3 linked regions of the Nothobranchius furzeri genome follow. The protein of the gene in region 2 purifies or fractionates together with the protein of the main gene of each other region. This does not show direct contact. Links are inferred from orthologs where the notes say so. Each region holds a gene or a part of one and is shown on either strand. Other genes may lie near its edges. The genes, in order: map3k7, C-Jun-amino-terminal kinase-interacting protein 1 and map2k7.

The links.
Region 1: the proteins of C-Jun-amino-terminal kinase-interacting protein 1 (region 2) and map3k7 purify together in Homo sapiens (pull-down; 3 studies listed by BioGRID and IntAct, with this or other methods). This does not show direct contact. The link is inferred for Nothobranchius furzeri from reciprocal best matches to the Homo sapiens genes MAPK8IP1 and MAP3K7.
Region 3: the proteins of C-Jun-amino-terminal kinase-interacting protein 1 (region 2) and map2k7 purify together in Homo sapiens (affinity purification with western blotting; 3 studies listed by BioGRID and IntAct, with this or other methods). This does not show direct contact. The link is inferred for Nothobranchius furzeri from reciprocal best matches to the Homo sapiens genes MAPK8IP1 and MAP2K7.

What each region holds. Positions count from the first base shown.
Region 1 is NC_091743.1:91,283,191-91,289,743, reverse strand, and holds the start of map3k7 (mitogen-activated protein kinase kinase kinase 7), read right to left. Parts: upstream 5,242-6,553; 5' UTR 5,029-5,241; intron 4,664-5,028; 5' UTR 4,641-4,663; coding exon 4,548-4,640; intron 4,461-4,547; coding exon 4,350-4,460; intron 870-4,349; coding exon 804-869; intron 730-803; coding exon 684-729; intron 1-683. UniProt on the Homo sapiens protein: Serine/threonine kinase which acts as an essential component of the MAP kinase signal transduction pathway. Plays an important role in the cascades of cellular responses evoked by changes in the environment.
Region 2 is NC_091749.1:49,782,154-49,788,606, reverse strand, and holds part of C-Jun-amino-terminal kinase-interacting protein 1, read right to left. Parts: intron 5,577-6,453; coding exon 5,404-5,576; intron 3,997-5,403; coding exon 3,893-3,996; intron 3,807-3,892; coding exon 3,690-3,806; intron 1-3,689. UniProt on the Homo sapiens protein: The JNK-interacting protein (JIP) group of scaffold proteins selectively mediates JNK signaling by aggregating specific components of the MAPK cascade to form a functional JNK signaling module. Required for JNK activation in response to excitotoxic stress.
Region 3 is NC_091747.1:73,508,641-73,515,135, forward strand, and holds the start of map2k7 (dual specificity mitogen-activated protein kinase kinase 7), read left to right. Parts: upstream 1-2,251; 5' UTR 2,252-2,323; coding exon 2,324-2,447; intron 2,448-6,495. UniProt on the Homo sapiens protein: Dual specificity protein kinase which acts as an essential component of the MAP kinase signal transduction pathway. Essential component of the stress-activated protein kinase/c-Jun N-terminal kinase (SAP/JNK) signaling pathway.

The sequences.
Region 1 (6,553 bases), on a different chromosome or scaffold from region 2:
TCCAAAATGCTGCAGCTAGAGTTCTGATGAGGATTAAAAAGAGAGATCATATCTCTCCTGTCTTAGCTTCCCTACATTGGCTAGCTGTTAAATTCAGAATAGATTTTAAGACCCTTCTTCTCACATATAAAGCTCTTAATAATCAAGCTCCATCATACATGGATGGAGGATGGCTGCTTATACTGAGCCAGGATCCTCTGGAGGTTTCTTCCTGTTAAAAGGGAGTTTTCCTCTCCACTGTCGCTGCATGCTTGCTTAGTATGAGGATTGCTGTAAAGACTCTGACACTAGTCAGTGACTCGATGCGACCTGCTGGGTTCCTTATATAGGAAACTTGTTACTGATTGGCTTAATGACCTGACCTGTACTGGGATGTTTACTATGTGAAGGCCCTTGAAACGACTTGTCGTGATTTGGCGCTTTATAAATAAACTTGAATTGAATTGAATGTGATGACCTCCGACAGGCAGAGACACGAGAGAGACGGAGCAGCAGCATGCTAGCTGCAGCCATATTCCATCTGTAGCACCAGTATATCAGAGGAGAGTGAGACATCGGTAGAAGGACTGCTGGTGATGCAGAGAGATGTTAACCAGCTAGGGGCAGCCTTCATGTGTGTGACAGGCTGTGCTCATGGTCACCTAGAACACACAACCGCTCTCTGGTTCTGAATCTGGACTCACCATTGTACAAGGATCCTCCTTCTGCGTATTCCATCACAAGACAGACCTAAATGTGGAAGAGAACCAGGAATAAACCTCTGAAACTTTATGAAACTAACAAAAACATTTCACCCTTCTTACCGGGTTTTTACAGGAGCCGTACAACTTCACGATGTTTGGGTGGTTCACACGAGAAAGCTGTCTCAGCTGCAAAGAAAAAGCATGAAATGAGTGTGACACTTTCACTGCTGATACAACAGCAGGGCTCCTCCCAGCGGCACCGAGCCAACAGGAACATTCTGACTCTGATGAAAGTCATGATGTGAATGAGTGAGAGACCGATGAAACACCCTCCATGGGCGAGCTCACGGACCTGAATGTCTGCCTACCAAAAACAACAACACCTTAGAGCTAGTGATGCATGGTGTACCCGGTCGATATGATACAATAACCGCGGGCAGAGCTGCTGACTCTACCGTCCGACAGTGACGGCGCGTAAATATCATCATGCTGTGTCAGCTTGCCACAGCGCACGGAGGAAGGCGTGCTCGTTGGGAAGATGGAGTTATGTTGGTTATACGGACCTGGTTTGGGTTCTCTTTTACAAACAAAAAAGAACTGCTGCAAAGCATCGTTTTAGCTGCAGTTATTAACGACTAACACTAAACTTCTATGAGCAAAAGAAAACCTGAAAATTATTAAATTAATCAGAAAGAAATTTTATTTGTGTTTTTACATTTTTCATTAAAATATCTTCATCTTTATTCACGTCATGAGAATATTTGTGATGAAAAGTTTGAAAAAAGAACCTTAAGAACATAAAAGTCATTTGAGACGTTTTGTCACGTTAAACGGTTTTTAAGTGGCATTCTGTCCTTTTCATCAGCACTTGTTCTGGTGCCGCTCATCTGGTGTGAGAGATTGTTCAGAAAGGTTATTTGGACAAATAAACTAATGAAAAGAATACGTCGTGTTACCGCACGTGCTTTAAATTATATCACGATTTATAGATGTTGGGCCCATCCTACCTACAGGTGTCACTTGGCTAATGTTAAGGTCAGAGGTCATGAGTCAAGTGAGGAAGAACACAAAGGACCTGCTGGAACCATGCTCTGGCAGAGCATCCTGAAAGAGAACGTCTGACCTTTGACCTTAAACAGGCCGTTCCTGCTGGAAACCCCTCTGATGTACCACTCAGCGTGTTTACACGCACATCTGAATGGATCTAAAATAAACTGGGAGCCTTTCTCCTAGTTTACCTGTACGTTAGAAAACCAACCCCCGTAAAGACGTTAGTACCGTTCCGGTACAGTTGGAGGCGACATGCGCCCTATTGTGTAGGCGTTCTTCCGGTTAACTTATAGCAACACAAATAGCAAACAAACGCTGGTGGGAGTGAAGCAGACAGAGTTAAAACAGGATATGAACAATGGCCGAATGGACAACAACGCTGCGGCACAGCTGATCTGTGATGCTGTTACACGTGCGACTTTGTGGCGATGATATCAGAAGACCTCTTCTGCGTCTCGTCAAGTCTGAAAGTTACCGTCATCAGCTCGATGGAGGCGCTTACACACAGATGAAGTTGGGCTCCCACTACATTATCTGGGTGCTTCAGGACGACTAGAACCAGTTCACGTTCAACGAGACTTACAAGTTTACATGAGTTTAAAAATCAACAACGTCAGTCTACTTAGGGCAAAAGTTCAGTTTTCTGACGCGCATGTGAACACACTGAGAGTTTGGTGTTTCACAATCCCACCTCTGGCGTCTTCAGTTGGTGCAGGATGCTGCTGCACGGCTTATCGATGGGACGAAAATGACGGTGCACGTTACTCCTGTCCTGGCCTCACTGCACTGGCTACCTGCTTGTTTTTGAATCCAGTACAAGGTGCTTTTATGGGCTTTTAAATCTTTACGGCCTTGCTCCAGATGACCTCTCTGAGCTACTGGTTTTTAACTCCCCTGCACGGTCTGAGGTCGGCTGATAGGAAGCTCCTGGAAGTCCCGACAACGAGACGCCAGTTTAGAGGTGACAGAAATCTCTAGAAAACCCACTTTTAACTTAGCATGAGTCTTTTACTTTTAGTCCTCAAGTTTTAGTTTTTATGCATTTTTATTGTTTTTACTGTTATTGTTTAAGGTTGTACACAAATAAAGTTGGCTTGGCATGAGACTCAATAGGAGTTATCACAGACACCGGACCCAGGTGGAGCCTCTTAGTGTCAGGACTTCAGTTCCTGATCTCTCTGCACTCACCTCATCGAAGCTCACCTGAGACATCTTGATATTTCCATCTGTATTACGGTGATAAAAGCTCCCTGCAGCTATTGGTGAGTGCCAGATCAGCCCACTAACTCGCTACGAACCAGGCCAGAATCAGCAGGTCTCAGTCAAGGGAGTCCAACATGAATTCTAATCTAGTCGTGGTCTAGTCGTCAAGCTAAGCTATATCTGTTGTGTCAAACCAAGTTAATCTTAAAACCATTCCTGATTTATTTAATTTGCTTTACATACATTTGTATTTTGACCTTTCTGAGTATTGGCTGAATCCTTGGATCCAAATCATCTGATGTGACACCGGGGGTGTTTGCTACTTGTGAGGTTTGTTTTATCACGCCGGACCGGGGTGGTCGGGATAGCTCTGTTCCTCTAATAATGAAACCATCAGAAAAAAACATTTTATTGACTCAGGTTATCCTTATCAGACTTTGAAATTAGCTTTTTGATCTGAAAGTTTTATATGACTCAATCTCAGATATTTTAGTGCACAGTAAAGAACGAAATGGGCAGATTACACTGATTACACTTCAGTATGGTGTAAGAGAAGAGGGGACACTTCCCTTTAACTCATTCACTGCCAGCCGTTTCCTGATCGTTAACGGCCTTCGCTGCCAGCGTTTCTCACCGTTTTTACTGTTTTTTAAGAGTGACAGAACGTTGCGCGCTAGGATGATGTCGATGCCAAAACAACCAAAACAAAGATGAGACTCATCTCTTACATCAGGAAGAATCTGCACGTTTCGAGCGTTATCCGTTCTTTCATAACTCGTTGTCGAACTGTGATGGGCAGACGCTTTTCCGGTTCGCGCCTCACTTTTTTTTTTTACAGGAATGGCCCAAAGCAATCTCCTAACACATGGATTTTCTCCGTCCTGATCATGTGACGTGTGACGTATGCGAATGAAGATCGGCTTCAGAGCTGAGATGTTTGTTCTTTCGGCGCAGGGGCTCGTTCCGATGCCTACACAGTAAAAAAAATGCAAATGACGACTTTAGTCGTCAATGGCAGTGAAAGAGTTAAGAGGAAAAGCCTGCAGAAGAACAAGAACCAGGTGACCTAACAGAAGTGGTTAGAGATGTTTATGGATGTTTTTAGAGTCTTCACATCCAAATCAACCCATCCATGAAGGCCTCGCCTCACAACATCCTCCAGAAACAAACGTCTAGTGATGTCACTGTTCAGGCCTCTAACGTCTGCAGTGCTCTAGTAGAAAAGCAGGATTTACTCAGACCATACAGGTGGTCATTATCTTATGGCTGAGAGCTGTATGATGTGTCAGACATTTGCCACTAACACCAAACCAGCAGTCACATCTTGGTGCATCAGTGGACCTGGTCGACTCTGCACCAATAATAACAACAATAATAACAATAACAACAACAATAATAATAGAGTAACAGTACCTCAACAATAAAGGCTTTCCTCTCCGACTCACTCTCGATGGTCTTGATTGCAACATCTTTGCCTTTCCACTTGGCTTTGCAGACCACCCCGAACGCACCTCTGCCCACCACCTTCACAGGGACAGATACAGGCGATCACGTTTAGGACAACTCCGTTAACACCCTCATCCATGGCCACACGGACCAAACATAACTCACCTCCTCCACTTCAATATCCTCATAATTGATCTCTTCAAATGGATATCCAGGTGGCGTTTCCAGCATATCGGAAGGTGGTAGCGTCTGAGACATTACTAGCTAAAACAAGCTAGTAACTAATCAGAGAAAAGAAGACAGTGGACAACGGAAACGTGTCAATACCAATCAGAAAAACAAAAACAAAAAATGAACGCACTGATGTACCGGAACTGCGTTTCGCTCCACATTCCTTTTGCGAGCTGTCAAACATGGTAAACAGCACGCTAGCTTCCATCAGCTGGCTAGCCAGCAGAGCTAAAACTAGCACAGCTGCAACAAAACCACCAACCAAAGGCTACAACGTGCTTTAAGTTGCACAGAAGGCTGGATAACAAGTCCTGGAGCATCAGTACGGTGTTAATAAGAGAAATGCACAAACAACATGACACTTAAACAAAACAATTTAGTTATCAAGGCCTACGGTGTGAATTAGCTTGCTTACATTAGCTTCCGAGCCTGGTTGCTAAACGTAGCTGCCGGGGCTTAAATCCAGCCCTTTCTCGTAGATGTTACCGAGGCCGGCTCCGTAGACATGGGGATAGCTCCTACTATTTCTGCACGGGAAGCCGAAGAATAACGTCCATCTTTAGAAAACGTCTGTCCATAACTTTCCCTCGGCTCGTCTAGCTGGCTTCCTCCGACTGTTTTTCTTCGCGGAAGCACAGCAGCTCCACCAGGAGGATGCGCTCATTACAGCACAGGAAAATCACAACAGCATGAAGCGACAACGGGCAGGGAACCCTGTTGTTTTTCAACGGATTTTTCATTATTTATTGTTATTCATTATTCTTTTCCGCTAATTCTATATGGCTGCAGGAGCCTGAAAATGCCAGAAAAAATGTAACATGGCAGTCTGATAGAAAAACCTGACTGCTACTATGATTCCAAAATTCATACCCACAAAACTCTAGGTGGCGCTATTGCGAAGGTCAATGCGTTTCAGCTACCGGCTCCCTAACCAAAGGCCCTACAGTCAAAACGTGCATGATCCTTGGATGATTTTTTAAAATCTGTTTATTAATCAACAAAACATGGCACATTACAATATTCCCTTCTTAACTGGAAATACAAGCAGACAAGAGAAATAAACTGAGGAAAAGTAAATAAATAATAAACAAACATAATATAAATAAAATACAAATTAAATGAAATAGACAAAATGACAGTAAAACAACTATTAAAGTGCAAAACATCATTCAATAAATGTGCTAGGGGTTAGCATTTAGTTTGTATTTCTTAGGCTTTGGAGCCTTTCATGGATTTCAAAAAAGAGAAGTAATGTACTAATTCTTTATAAAATGCAATGAAATTAGGGTAGGTTTTAGCATAACGGCATTTGTGTATATAACATCCATGGATAATTATAACATTTAAAGCAATATAAATATTGTCCTTGGTTGTAAAACAACCGATTAACACGTTTTTTTAGAAAGTTTTGGTGGATTACATAGCCTCAAAGCCAACCAATTCTCTAATTCACTCCAAAAAGTCTTTACAAATTCAGTCAAAAAGCAGATGCTCAGTGGTTTCTGTCTGCATTACAAAATGAGCAGCCATTATGTTCCAAGTTAAATCGATGTCTCAAAAGCTCTCCAGATGGATAAATGCTATTAATAATTTTAAACAGCATCTCTTTTATCTTTGGAGCAACTGGAAGCTTGAAAAAAAACTCCTTGCTTTTTTTTCTATTTCATAAGATTGTAGGTGAGAAGCTAATGATCTGTTGGCTAAGAATGGATGCAGTTGACTAAATAACTGTCTTACTACAATATTGGATAACTTTTTGTCAGTAATAGAACATCCATTAAGCATAAGTCCAGGGAGCTTTGGACTAATGTTATTGTGATGTAAATTGGAGGAGATTGACAAGACAGGACTTGGAATTGCTTTTATAACCTGATATTGTTCCTTAACAGTCAGCTTGAATTTGGAGCTAAGTAGTTCATGAGACAACAGTGTAACAAGTG
Region 2 (6,453 bases):
AGCACCCTGGTTCTGAGCCAGTTGCACCTTTGTGCAGCTCTTTGGGGAGACAATGCTCAGCAGGTTAAACAACTGTAAAATTGATTGTGTTCATACTTTTTGTTTAGAACTCATACATCACCAGTTTTTGTTTCTTACAGACACATGCCTCCGTGTGGTCAGGTGGTGTTGGTGTGATCTGGGAGGGCACACTCATATCGTCTTCTCCTTGTGCCGTCTCCAGGATCATGATGGGAGTTCTCTGTGCCTATAAAGCAGGGGTATTTACTTCTGGGCCTGGAGGGCCGGTATCCAGCACATTTAAGTTTTAACTCTGTTTCAACACACCTGATTTCAGTCAGCAGATAATTAACAGGCTTCTGCAGAGCTGCTGCACAGGTAATTCAACCACTGATTCAAGTGTGTTGGAGCAGGGAAACAACTAAAACGTGCTGGATACCAGCCATCCAGGACTAGAATTGAATACCCCTGCTATAAAGCCTTCCTCCCTCCTCTGGACTTTAAACATTAGTATTTTATTATGGTTTACCTGATTTAGTAAATAAATCTCAATTTATAAATTTCATGTTTTGGTGCCTGTCCATAAAATCCTGCATTAGACACTGAAAGCTGAATGGATGCCTTTCATTCACATTGACATTCAATGTATTTTTAAAGATACACTTGAAATTAACATCAGCTGTTTAACAGAGTGGGACAAAATAATTGCTAATGTCATGACTTTTGCAATAAACTGACCTTCATGCAGAGAAACTCAGGAGACAAATGAGCTAAAAACAGTTTATTTAAATGTTTGACGGATGACTGAAGAGGTAACTGCTGGAGATCAGGAACCAGAAGCTTCTGCAAGGAAGAGCAGAGGTTAGTAAGAGTCAACAGGTCAGGTTTTTTTTAGACTGTGCAGGTAGCTTACAGAGACTGAGAAACGCCACAGAGATGGAGCAACAGGTTTTAGTGTTTAAAGATCAGAAGGCCCTGAGGTAAAATTGAGTGTTAGTAATGACTAAAGAATGACTTACAAAAGGAAACGTTTAGGTACTTACGGTCTGAAGTTGTAGCGCAGACGGGAGACAGCAGAATGGTGGAGAAACAACCAGAAGTCTGGGAGAATGACAGCATGAGTTGCAAGCAGGTGAGCAGAAGGTAGTGGGTAAGCCGACTGCCAGTATGGTTGTGTGATCAGGAGCTTCAAGGAAATAATTTCCATAGATCTGCATAGAAAATGAGAATGTAAGTTTGAAAAACGGCAGAGTCATGGGCTAGATATGGGTTAAAACACTCTGATGAGTGACCAGCTACCAGCTTTTATTCAAGGATGGGGTTACAGGTGTGTGAGGATGTGCCTGCCCCATGAGAAGAGTTTTCAGGTAAGCCTCTCCATGGTGCTCTGCAATGGTGACTAGCAAGGCTAATGAAGAGATTAAAGGGAACACAAACCCAGGACTCCGACCCAAACTCCTGACAGGTGGTTGTTCCACGGGAGTACAGTCACACGCAGCTGCCTGAAGTTCAGCATCAGGCAACCTGTAGGCGATGTAATCATATGTGGCTTCTGAGCATGCAAGTTTACTCTAGCTGTACAGCGTACAATAATAATAAAGATTTATATTCTGTTGTGTTGCTCACCTTACAGGTTCTTTTAAAATCTTAACCTGTGCCTGCTTACAGCAGGTCTTTCAGGTCTTTTGAACTAGACACAGAGAGGTTCAGGCACAGGTACTTAGACTCCTGATATGGTAGAGCATCCACCACCACAGACTCGAACAATAGGTCCATATGCTTGTCAACTGGAAACAATGGAAAAAGATTACCATTAGTACAGATATTTATCCATAACTTTCACTGTGGGTTTATTTTACAGCCTATGAAATACATGAGGTGGGATTGGTCTGCAGTAGGGATGTGTATTTTTGACTGAATTTATTGTAGGAATATTCAATAAACAGTCCAAACTGATACTTAACATGTTTAACATGAGTTATCTGAACCATAATAGCGGGATTTAAATTTCAATGGTGGAAACAAAACCCAATGCATACTGCTGCCAACTAGCAGTCGACATTTAAAGTGCACCAAAAACAAAGAAAATACACTAATGTTTGTATGTAAATTCTTCCAAAAATGAGATACACTGCTTTTGAAAATGGATGTAATATCTCAGGAAAAAATATCACGATATATTGCATATCGATATTTTAGAGACACAGTTTGAGAATATCGATACAATATCACTGAGAAAATATATTGTGATATATTGTCATATTGATATTTTCTTACATCCCTTGTCTGCAGTGTACTTTGTGTACACTATGTGTGTCTTAGCCCACCAGCTGCAGTTGACACATGTGGCCATGTAGCACTTCCATTGTAATGCAATGCAGTAGTTTTATATCTAAAAAGAAAGAAAAAAACCCAAACAACAAAAGAAATAGCTTTTAGACAAAAATATAGATTTTATGTAAAAATTTAATATTTAAAAGCATGTATTTAACTCATTCTTTTGATGGAGAATACAGAACACTTGACAGAAAGCACATTGAATCTGATTTGTCCTGTTCTGACAAACAAATGTCAGATCTGTATAGTGGTAAGAACATTATTATCAAACATACTCAATTAGATAATTATTCAGTCAGAGTTACATCATATAATCCATTTGTTTCACTGAAAAAGGAGCAGGCAGAACTGTGAACTTGTATAGCCCGTCCAAGTAACATGGAATAAAAATGAAAATGTTAAGATGAGTTTTTAATACGTCTCTCTGGAACAATAGACCATTGTCCTGAGGCTAGCACAATGGCTTGCTTAGCAGCTAGCTAGTGAGCTAACGTCTGGTTAAAACCAACTTAAAAAGTGGCTTAACTTAAAGATTAACTAAGAAAAGATAAAATATATTATCAATACTCACTTTAGATCCTTAGTAGACACCACAGACAGCAGAAATAATGTGTTTGGGGCTCAAAATTCATGTTGTTGACCGAGGTGGGAAAAAAATGTCTTGGAGGTTACATCACTTCTGGGTCACTGAACTTTCACTCAAGAGAAACCACTGTCCTATGGGAGAGGACTTCTCAGAAGTCCCACCCACCCGACAGGGTTGTGTCAGAATTGCAACCAAAAACTCAGGGATTGCAAAGGAGAAAGCCAGAAAGTGTAAGTGCAAATCTGGTAGTGAGAGCAAAGCTCTGAGCAGCGAGAACGAAACTAAGGAAACTGATAACAAAAACACATAGAGGCAAACAGAAAAAGGAAACATACTTTGTTACTCATTTTAAGAAGTTGATTCAGATAGTAAGTTTTACTTTTGAAACATTTTTTTTCCTTTAGTCAATATTTTTGTTCTGTCAATTTCTTAAATTTTGTTTGACCATCAAAGTGTTTTTCTTGATCATTTTAAGAAGCTGATTCAGATTGTAAGTTTTTCTTTTGAAACAATTTTTTTCTCTCCATGTCTTAATATTTGTTTGATCTTCAAAGTCTTTTTCTTGATCCTATTGGCACAAATCTAATCCGATAGTTTTTTCTGCACCGCTGCAGTGGGACTTGTTCAAAATGACATCAATGACTCCACCTGGCCATGCATAAAACATGTCACAAAAGTGTTTTACAAACCAATTCAATTCAAATTTGTGTTTTCAGCTAGTCATCAACCATCTCATCCAGGTGAGATGCGAGCTGTCGGTTCTTACTCTATCACAGGTGTAGTAGTCCTCTTGAACTGCCAGTTTGATGCCTTTAACACTAATTTCTAGGATGCAGGAGGAAGGCGGGTTATACTTGACTGTCATCTTTCTGTTGATAGCGATCTGGAAGAAATAAGAAAAATATGATGACTAAAACATGAAGTTAGAAAGATATGGACATCCAAATGTGCAAAACACAGGGTGTCTACCTTCTGCATAGCTGCACATAAAACGTCGTTTCCTTTGTGGTAGGGCACTTGGACTGATCCCAGAAACTTCAGGCGATATGTGTCCATCCATTCACTACTCTTCACTGCAAGGACAAGTGAAGAAAATGGTTTTGTTTACAATACTAAGAAATGGATATACATATTAAAAATAAAATAAATTAGGACTAGACTTTGACAAAGCAACTAAACATAGCATTAACCAATTAAGGGGCAGATCTTGCACAGAACCAAATTGACAAGCAAACAAACAAGAACTAGTGAACAAAAAATATTCTAAAAAAATGCGACAGGTCAGGATAGCAGCTGGACAGTGTTTTTGCCTGCCAGCATTGTACAATAAAAAACAAAAACATTCAAGGTGCTAATTTCTCTTAGTTCATTAGCGTAACTTTCTCTGTCAGCTGGCTCCGAGTTTTTGTCTGACTTCACTGTGAACTGCGACTGTTAGAGGTAATCTAGGGATTAATGGAGACCAGTAATTTCCTTTGTTGATGCCCGAAGGGAAAAGCTGACAGAGAAATTAGCTTGTTTGAAGGCAGCAACTCATGGAGCTGCCCTTTTCAGCATATTGAATGCTCGGTATGCACACATACAAGTGTCTGTAGCTCTGCCTTTGCTGTCCGGTTTAAATACAACCAAGCTGCAGATGTTTTAGCTCTCCTGAGGAGACACGTTAGCTCTACGTTAGCAGGCTATCTAACAGCGGCACTTGGTGTCTGAGTCCTTGCCTGCCGTAAGTTGTTTGACATTACTGTGTTGTTCGTATAAGAAACTAATATTATTGATGTAGAGGGACGTATTGAAATTTGAACTAAGCCATTTTCATTCAATTTGAAAACCTCTATCTCAGGATGCATTTAAAAAGTCATGTTTTGTTGTTTTTAAAAGATTAAATCCGTTTTTTTTCTCCCGATTTCTGATCACATGATCGGATTGGAGCATCTCCAGTCTATATGAACATCCACCGCAACAACAAATAAAAATAAAAATAAATCAGGAAAGCCTCCTGTGTGTGATTACTACTTGCATGGTATGTGCAAACAATAAGCAAGAGGCAGGGATGATTGTACTTCAGCCACTGAATTTTGTAGAATCTTTATCACAAATTCCAGAAAATCATGTGTGAACAGAGACGGTATTAGCATCCTGACATGGTATTAGGTTAGACTAGAGGCAAGTCTGAGGTGTGAATATGAGAAGTTTTAAAAAAAGTTGCATTTTGACTGTCTATGAAAATGAAAATGCCCTTTCAGGAACTTTCATTCTGGAGTTTGTTTTTGATCAAACAAACTTTTAGGGCTCTTACATGTCTTTTTTTTTCTTTTCAAAAGCTGAAACTGTAAGAAACACTTGCAATCAGGAAAGCACTTCATATGATTTCAACTCAAATTCAAACCAAAACAAACACACTTGTAGTCAGAAAGTGGATCTTTTTCAGCAAATTTGTGGACAGTTTTAACAGTGTCTTGAACTTGTACATTTATCAGTACCTTCACAGCTCTCAGTGTCCTTGGTGACCTCTATGGCGTAGTAGGCAGGGAAGATCCCACGAGCATAAGTCCGCATGTTGTAGCCCTCATACCAGTAGTCCTCCCCTTGGACCTCCACAAACAAAGGGTCGTCCACCTCCAACTCCAGTTCATCATCATGTCGAGGCACAAATCTGGTGAGAGGAGTTAAAATTTTCAAAGTAATTATCTAATTAGAGTTAAAGTGGTGGGTCTTTTCGCTATGAACCCTCATGAAGAAACTTCATGAGAATCTGGTCTTGGGGCTAGGCAATATGGAAAATAATTTGGTCGAAATCGATATATATATATATATATCCTGACATAAAACTAATCACTATTTCTGTCAATCTTTAATGTTCTCTGCTATTTAAAATTGAGATTTGATGATATCAGATGGTTATTTTTTATTATAAAACATTTTTTGAAGGTGAACATGTCATTAACTCATTCACTGCCATTGACGACTAAAGTCATCATTTTAGATCCAACCGTTCACTGCAAATGACGACTAAAGACATCATTTGCATTTTTTTTTTTTTTACTGTGTGGGCATCGGAACGAGCCCCTGCACAGTGAGAACAAACATCTCAGCTCTGAAGCCTATCTTCATCCACATACGTCACACGTCACATGATTAGGAAGCAGAAATTCCATGTGTTAGGAGATCGTTTTGGGCCGTTCCTTTGAAAAAAGTGAGGTGCGAACCGGAAAAGCTTCTGCCGATCACAATTCGACAACGGATTATGAAAGAACAGATAACACTCGAAACACGCCGATTATTCCTGATGTAAGAGGTGAGGCTCCGCTTTGTTTTGGTTGTTTTGGCGTCAACATCATCCTAGCGCGCAACGTTCAGTGACTCTTAAAAAAACAGTGAAAACGGTGAGAAACGCTGGCAGTGAAGGCCTTTAGCGATCAGGAAACGGCTGGCAGTGAATGAGTTAACTGTTTTGGATTTAAAAAAAGGTTAATTTTGAACAAAAACTTTAAGAATTAGAGGAAAACAGAGCTCAGTAAAAGAGCCATCTA
Region 3 (6,495 bases), on a different chromosome or scaffold from region 2:
TGTCCCCCCCACTTTTTCCAAAGTCAAGTTTTGACCCCTGCACTTTTTACCATCCAAAAACAATATTACGCTATATTAAATTGACACTGGTTGAGCTCTAGGACCAAGCGGAAAACAACCATTTGTGTTGAAGCCTGTTTCCCATTAGAACACACTGTAAAGATATACCCCCCCCCCCCCCCCTTCTAAAGTGAAAATTACGTCCATGGCTGGGGCAGCAGCATCAGAGCCTGCAGGGGCCTAAAAAGGCTCAACAACCTGTCAAAAAAGGCTGGTTCTGTTCTGGAGACAACTGAGAACCACTGGAGATGATGGTGCAAAGAAGGATTTTTCATAAAATCAATAACATTTTAGACAACACTGAGCATCCGCTTCATGCAACAAGCATCTTCTTCAGAGCTGCTGTGACACAGGAGATCCTTCCTGCCCACAGCCTTCAGCATCTTTAACCACTCAGATTTCCAACTGAGCTTATTATTATTACTAGTATTTATTTTAATGACTGCTTTGAAGAATTAGTTAAGACAACACTTAACTTCCTTCTGGGATTAATGAAGTCATTTTGGACTTTAGACAGAGAACCTTAGTTCTGTGGAGTCGATGAAGAAACCCAATAATGAACCGGTGACACTGCTGAACTCAAACATATTTGTGATGTTCTCTAACGTGTATTAAATGGGGCTTGTATAAAATCCATTCCACTGCCTGCTGCTCAGCAACAGAGTTTCTCCTCACACGTGTGACAAGAGGTTTTCACTCCACGTTTGCTGGCTGTTTACCTGTGAACCACACCTGGTTTGTTGTTGGGATTTTTGTCCTGTCACACTAGTTCTAACCTTCTTCGTCTTCAGTGGTTTATTAATTTCCTCACCCAAGCTTCTGCTTCCCTGTAAACTCCTCCAAAGATGTGCTTTCTACGCCTGAATAGGACGGGAGATTGGATGCATTGAGGAGCTGAGGGACCAAGCTCTTTTCTTCAGTTAATAAATGATCCAACAAGAATACCAACAATCTAAATGTGTTAAACAACAACCTGCTGTACACATGGACATGTAAAGAAAGGAACTTCACAATAAAAGCTCATTGCAAGAATTTAAACACTTTTATTTGAAGTCATGAGCTCCAAAGATAATTAAGAGAATGTCCATGCCTAGGTCGATTTCATTCATAGAGGAAGGTAGCGGAGGTTACTGCTGCAGCTGCTGCTAGCGTGCAGGCTCCACCATCAAAGACAGCCCGCCTGCAGTACACCTGCAGCAGATGTGGTCAGCCCAAGCGGCTGGACACTGGCCACACATTGCAGGCGTGTCCTACTGGGCATCTGTTGGCGGAAAGTCTGTAGAGGAGTGGAGGGAGGAGATGAAGAATAACATTAGAGGGAGATTGGATGTGTTGAGGAGCTGAGGGAGCAAGACAGAAAAACTGTCTTCACTTTTTTGGATTTTTCTTTTTAAAGACTTTTTGAGACTTTTTCTTTTATTATATATATATATATATATATATATATATATATATATATATATATATATATATATATATATATATATATAAACGAAAACACTTTAAATCTTTGAATGTTTTTATGATCCTGGACACAGATACATTTATTACATGTGTTTTATAACATCACAAATATATTTCAACACAGATGCATTTTTTCATATATATTCTATAATTTTACGTGTCTATTATCACAAATATATTTCACAGCTCAGTGGTTCTTCATCACAATTATAATTAAATTTAAAGTGGTAATAGTGAAAAATTATTTACATAATAATTAGTTTTATCAGATTTCGCATACATTAATACTTTTATATTCGCACTGAGCGGGAATCGAACCTACGCACTTCGACTCCCGGACAAAACAGTTAAAAAAAAACGAGAAGATCCGTTGTTTGTCAAAGCTTTTTTTTTTTGTTTGTTTGTTTTTGGCTCCTGGTTTTTTATTTAGTTTTTTGTTTAAAAGCAATCGGTTTTGCTTCACCATCTTATTAATGTAAACCTTTGTTAAATTTAGTACGTTTCCTTACTCGTGTTGTACATGCTATATCTTTCAATAAAGTAAAAATAAATAAATAAATAAATAAATAAATAAATAAATAAATAAATAAACCTGCAGCGAGGTTTCCTCTGAAATAGAGAGCCCTTTCAGCCAATCAGACGCGAGAAAGGGAGAAAGGTGGGACCTTCCTGGACATACTACGGTTCCAAATGACGCGCGTGGGAGGAGGCTGTGGTTGCGAGTCTGCGCCTGCGCCTGCCTGCCACTGAGAGGCGTCGCGAGCTCTGCTGGAAACTATACGGTGCTCAATTTTTCAAGATGTCGTCGTTGGAACAGAGGCTGTCGCGAATCGAAGAGAGACTAAAGCAGGAAAATGAAGAAGCTCGCCGGAGAATCGACCTTAACATCGACATGAGCCCGCAGCGATCACGTCCAAGGCCAAGTGAGTGTCCATCGGGGCGGACCGGTGTGTTGGTAACGGCTAGAATAGCAGGAAAGGTCTGAGAAGGGGTGGGCTACCAGATGCATGCTAACTGGCTAGCTACGTAAACAAACATCGGCTGACCTCGGTTATACTACCAAAAATCCAACTTAATAAGTGGAACAGCTCATGTGGGGAGAAATGTTGAGCAGAGTTCAAACCCGGATGCAATGTTATACTAGTTGTCGGTGACTATGTCATTTCGAAATATGTTCATTTCAGTCCTGTCAAACATGCTAAGCTAACAAGCTGTACGTTTTGTGATAGTTTGTAGCAGGCCTGGCGTCCGTTAGAAAAATGACTGTTTTATTCATTTTTGATATAAATTTACGGTCGTTTCAATAATGTAATTTTAAAGGAATGTTTGTTCTAAATGTGAGTGGTGTGTTTGGATGTGACTTTTGGGCATAATAAGTCAGGTCACTTATGCTATTTTTAATGTCTCGCGCTTAAGGGTAATTTAAACTGGTTACTTTTATCCTTAACCAACACTGGTTGTGGTTGGAGCGGATGTTAAAGCAACAATCAAACAGAAATTCTGAACAGGTTGTCTGTTTTTTAGAAATTTGTGAGTTTGGTCAAACGTTTTAATAGTTATGTTGCTCTTTTTGAGGTTGTCTTGTAATTAACCTGTTATGATTAAATGTTAGGTCTTTCTCGTAGCTTTACTGCATCTGTTTGGTTAAGATTTGTTAGTGTAAATGTGTCAGAAAGGCATACGAACTTGACTTGACAGGAGATGCTGTAATTATGGGCCATAGAGGGAAAATCTCTACAGAAATGCTACGCTTGCTACAGCTTCGTGACATGTAACAACGAGACCCTCATTGCTGTAGTAAATAACAAAAAGCTCCATATTGACTGCTGTAAGTTTGCTATTGAGTGATAGCTTAAAAATCTTTCATTATTACTGAATAGCATTGTTTTGAGCCATTATACCTACCTTTTCTAATAGTTTTCTTTTGTTGAGAGAACAGTGGTCGTTTGATCCAGCTAACAAGTGCTGATGAAGGTCATTTGACTGTCACAGATGCTTCAAAAATTTACAGATGAGAAATGCATCAGGTCCAAATAACTCAGATTTGTTGGAGCCATGATACTGCTCACAATTATGCAGAATAATCATTTAAATGAGATAAAGATTGACCTTTGTTTAATCATAATATTTCCATAAGACACAACAGAGTTCATTATTTTGCCCAAGGACACTTTGTCTTGTGGAGAAACTGTAATTATACTACCAGCTCTCAGATTGGAAGTTGACCGCTCTACCAGCCGAGCCGCAGCTGTCTCAGACAGGGCAGTAACATGTTTCACATCCTGAGACCTCTGACTTTAAAAAAATCTCCTCTTGGTTTACCAGCTGGTGTTGAGCAAATAAGCTTGTAACTGAATATTTGGTGTGGAGAACTAAAAGGTCAGACATCAAATGCAACTTGACTTCATCGAGCTCTAAAAGTGAGAATATTTAAATCTTTTTTTTAATCTTTTTTATACTTTGTTTGGTTTTTTATTTATTGTTTTGTTTGTTTGTGAAGCGCCTCACGATTTTTATCTCAAGATGCTGTTTTTAAAAGAATGTTTTTTCTTTCTAACATTTTTATAGCAAAGAGATCAAAATGGATGTAATAGGGAGCCTAATGGGCCATTCCCATCTGTACCGGGTAGTCCCAGTCGGCCCCAGCCTGGCCCGGTTGATTCCACACATCCTTGCCTTAAGCCCATGTGGGCTGATTCTACCCACCAATCAGAGGCTTGCTCTAATGGAAGGTGTGAATTTGCTGTCAGCAGTGGGTGTGTTGGCCCTGGTCGGCCTGAATCAGACCCCTCGAGAAGAGGGCTGAGAATGAGCCTTGGTTTGCCCGGGAAAATACCAGGCCACCCAGATATGTAAACAACCTACGCTGCCTGGGCCGACCCGGTACAGATGGGAATGGCCCATAAGTCTCCTCCTTGTCCGGTTAGCTCATGGGTCCCTTGAAGAATGAAAAAATGAATGCAAATGAACAGAGGTAAAAGAACTATTTTCTAATCCGCTTTGCCTTACGCCCTGGATCACACACATGTTGCACTTCAATTTAAATGAACACTATAGGTGTTTCAACCAGCTTGTAAAAGTTTGTGATTATTATGATTACAAAAAATATGTTGGCACGTCACATAGATGACATCATCACAGGATCTCCTCTGCCCCAGCATAGCCGTTACTTACCCCATGGTCAGATTTCTGGTGAATTTCTTTCCTCCTGAAAGAAAGATTTGAAGTTCACTGAACTATAGGGCTGTCACAAACAACTCTTTTATAGTCGACTGATCGTGTCATGCATTAAAGTTTAGGTTTTTGCACCAGGATGCTCTTAATATACCCATTGTTAGCTTCTAGTTTGAAGTGTGATCAGCTGTGTGGCATCTAATGATAAAGACAAGATGATAACTTATCAAACAACTTTTAATTAACTTTGTAACCTATTAATACAAATGCTATAGTCAAATGGAGGTAGGCACCTAAAACCAAAAATAAATTGTACTCAAAAATGACTTGTGTTCACAAAAGGCATGGTGACAAGGGTGAAGCGCTTCGTCTTCTAATCTTAACTCAGGAAATGGCAGGACACACCAAGGTATGCCTCTGTAGCACGGCTGGTCCGCGTCAGCAGTCAGGGGACCATCGTCAGCTCTGAGGGTCTGCTTTACCGTAAAGATTAAAGTTAGTTTATTTACCAGATTAATAATTCTGTTATGTCAGAGGTGAACTCACCGATGCAATTCTTTGTTCATGCGCCTCGAAGCTGAAGGCGGCATCTGACCTGGATGGCGACCATTATGCATGTGCGTTGAGCAGAGAGGCAGGAAGCAACTGCCGAACGTGCTGCAGCAGGCGATATTTAAAAAAGTATTTATAGAATAAACGACACATCAACTATTAAATTAATAGTCAACTAATTTGTTTGTCGATGTCGTGACGAGTCGACTAATCGTGGCAGCCCTACTTTTGAGCTTTGTTGCGTGAGCATCATGGTGTCTTTTTTTTCTCCGGTGGTTCTGATTCAAAGGCTGATCTGGATGGCGAATACTGCGCATGAGCCTCAAGCAGAAAAGCAGAAGGTGCTGCAGCAGGCAAAATTTTTAAGCTCATATAATAAATAATGTGTCGACTATGAAATTTATTGTCGACTTTTTTGTTTGTCAGCATCATTGTGACGCGTCGACTAATCGTGGCAGCACTGGTCTTCAGCAGGAAGCATAAAGTGCTCTAAAACTTCTTGCTAGTCGGCTGCGTGGACCTCAGAAAACACAGTGGACCAACACCAGCAGATGACATGGCACCCCAAACCATCACTGACTGTTTCATTGTGGAGGATTTGCGCACGTTCCGCTGCTGTTTCTCACCAGCATCAGCTGATGGAGGGCTCTAGTTTCGTTGCGCCGTTCGTGTCAGCGGACATGGGAGGGGGGTGGGGCATGACGCTTAGTCTGGCGGGCCGCCAGGCTTATAAAGCGCTGGGGGAAACCATCTAAAGGCATTTGCAGGCGTTTTGATTAATTAGCTGATTACCCCGGGTTTCCACGGGAGCCGTCAGCAGCACGTTACTGCAGCAGCACGTCTTGCTCGCGTAAGCTGCTGCTTGGCCCTTCCCACGAGACGCAAAGCAGCAGGGGAGCAGCTGTCACCGACAGAGCACGAAGTCACACGAGTGACTTAGTCAGTAAACACAACAACAAGCAGGAGAAAACTACAACATGGTTTGTGTTTTATGTTCTGTCCGTTTCATAATCACCAATACGGACCTGAAAAACAAAGGAGACCGCTAGCTAGGTGATAACTTCTCACGGGGCCGCACAGTTAGTAACTTTTTTTAAAAGTAAAGCAACTGGAAGGCAGTACGTTCTTTATTCTGAAAATCTCGGGAGCTTCTCCCCATTTCCGCGTTCGATTTCCTGTCTTTCCTTCCCCAAAAATGTCGAACTTGACCCGTTTCAGAGGCGTCGCGCGTAGAAAATAGAACCG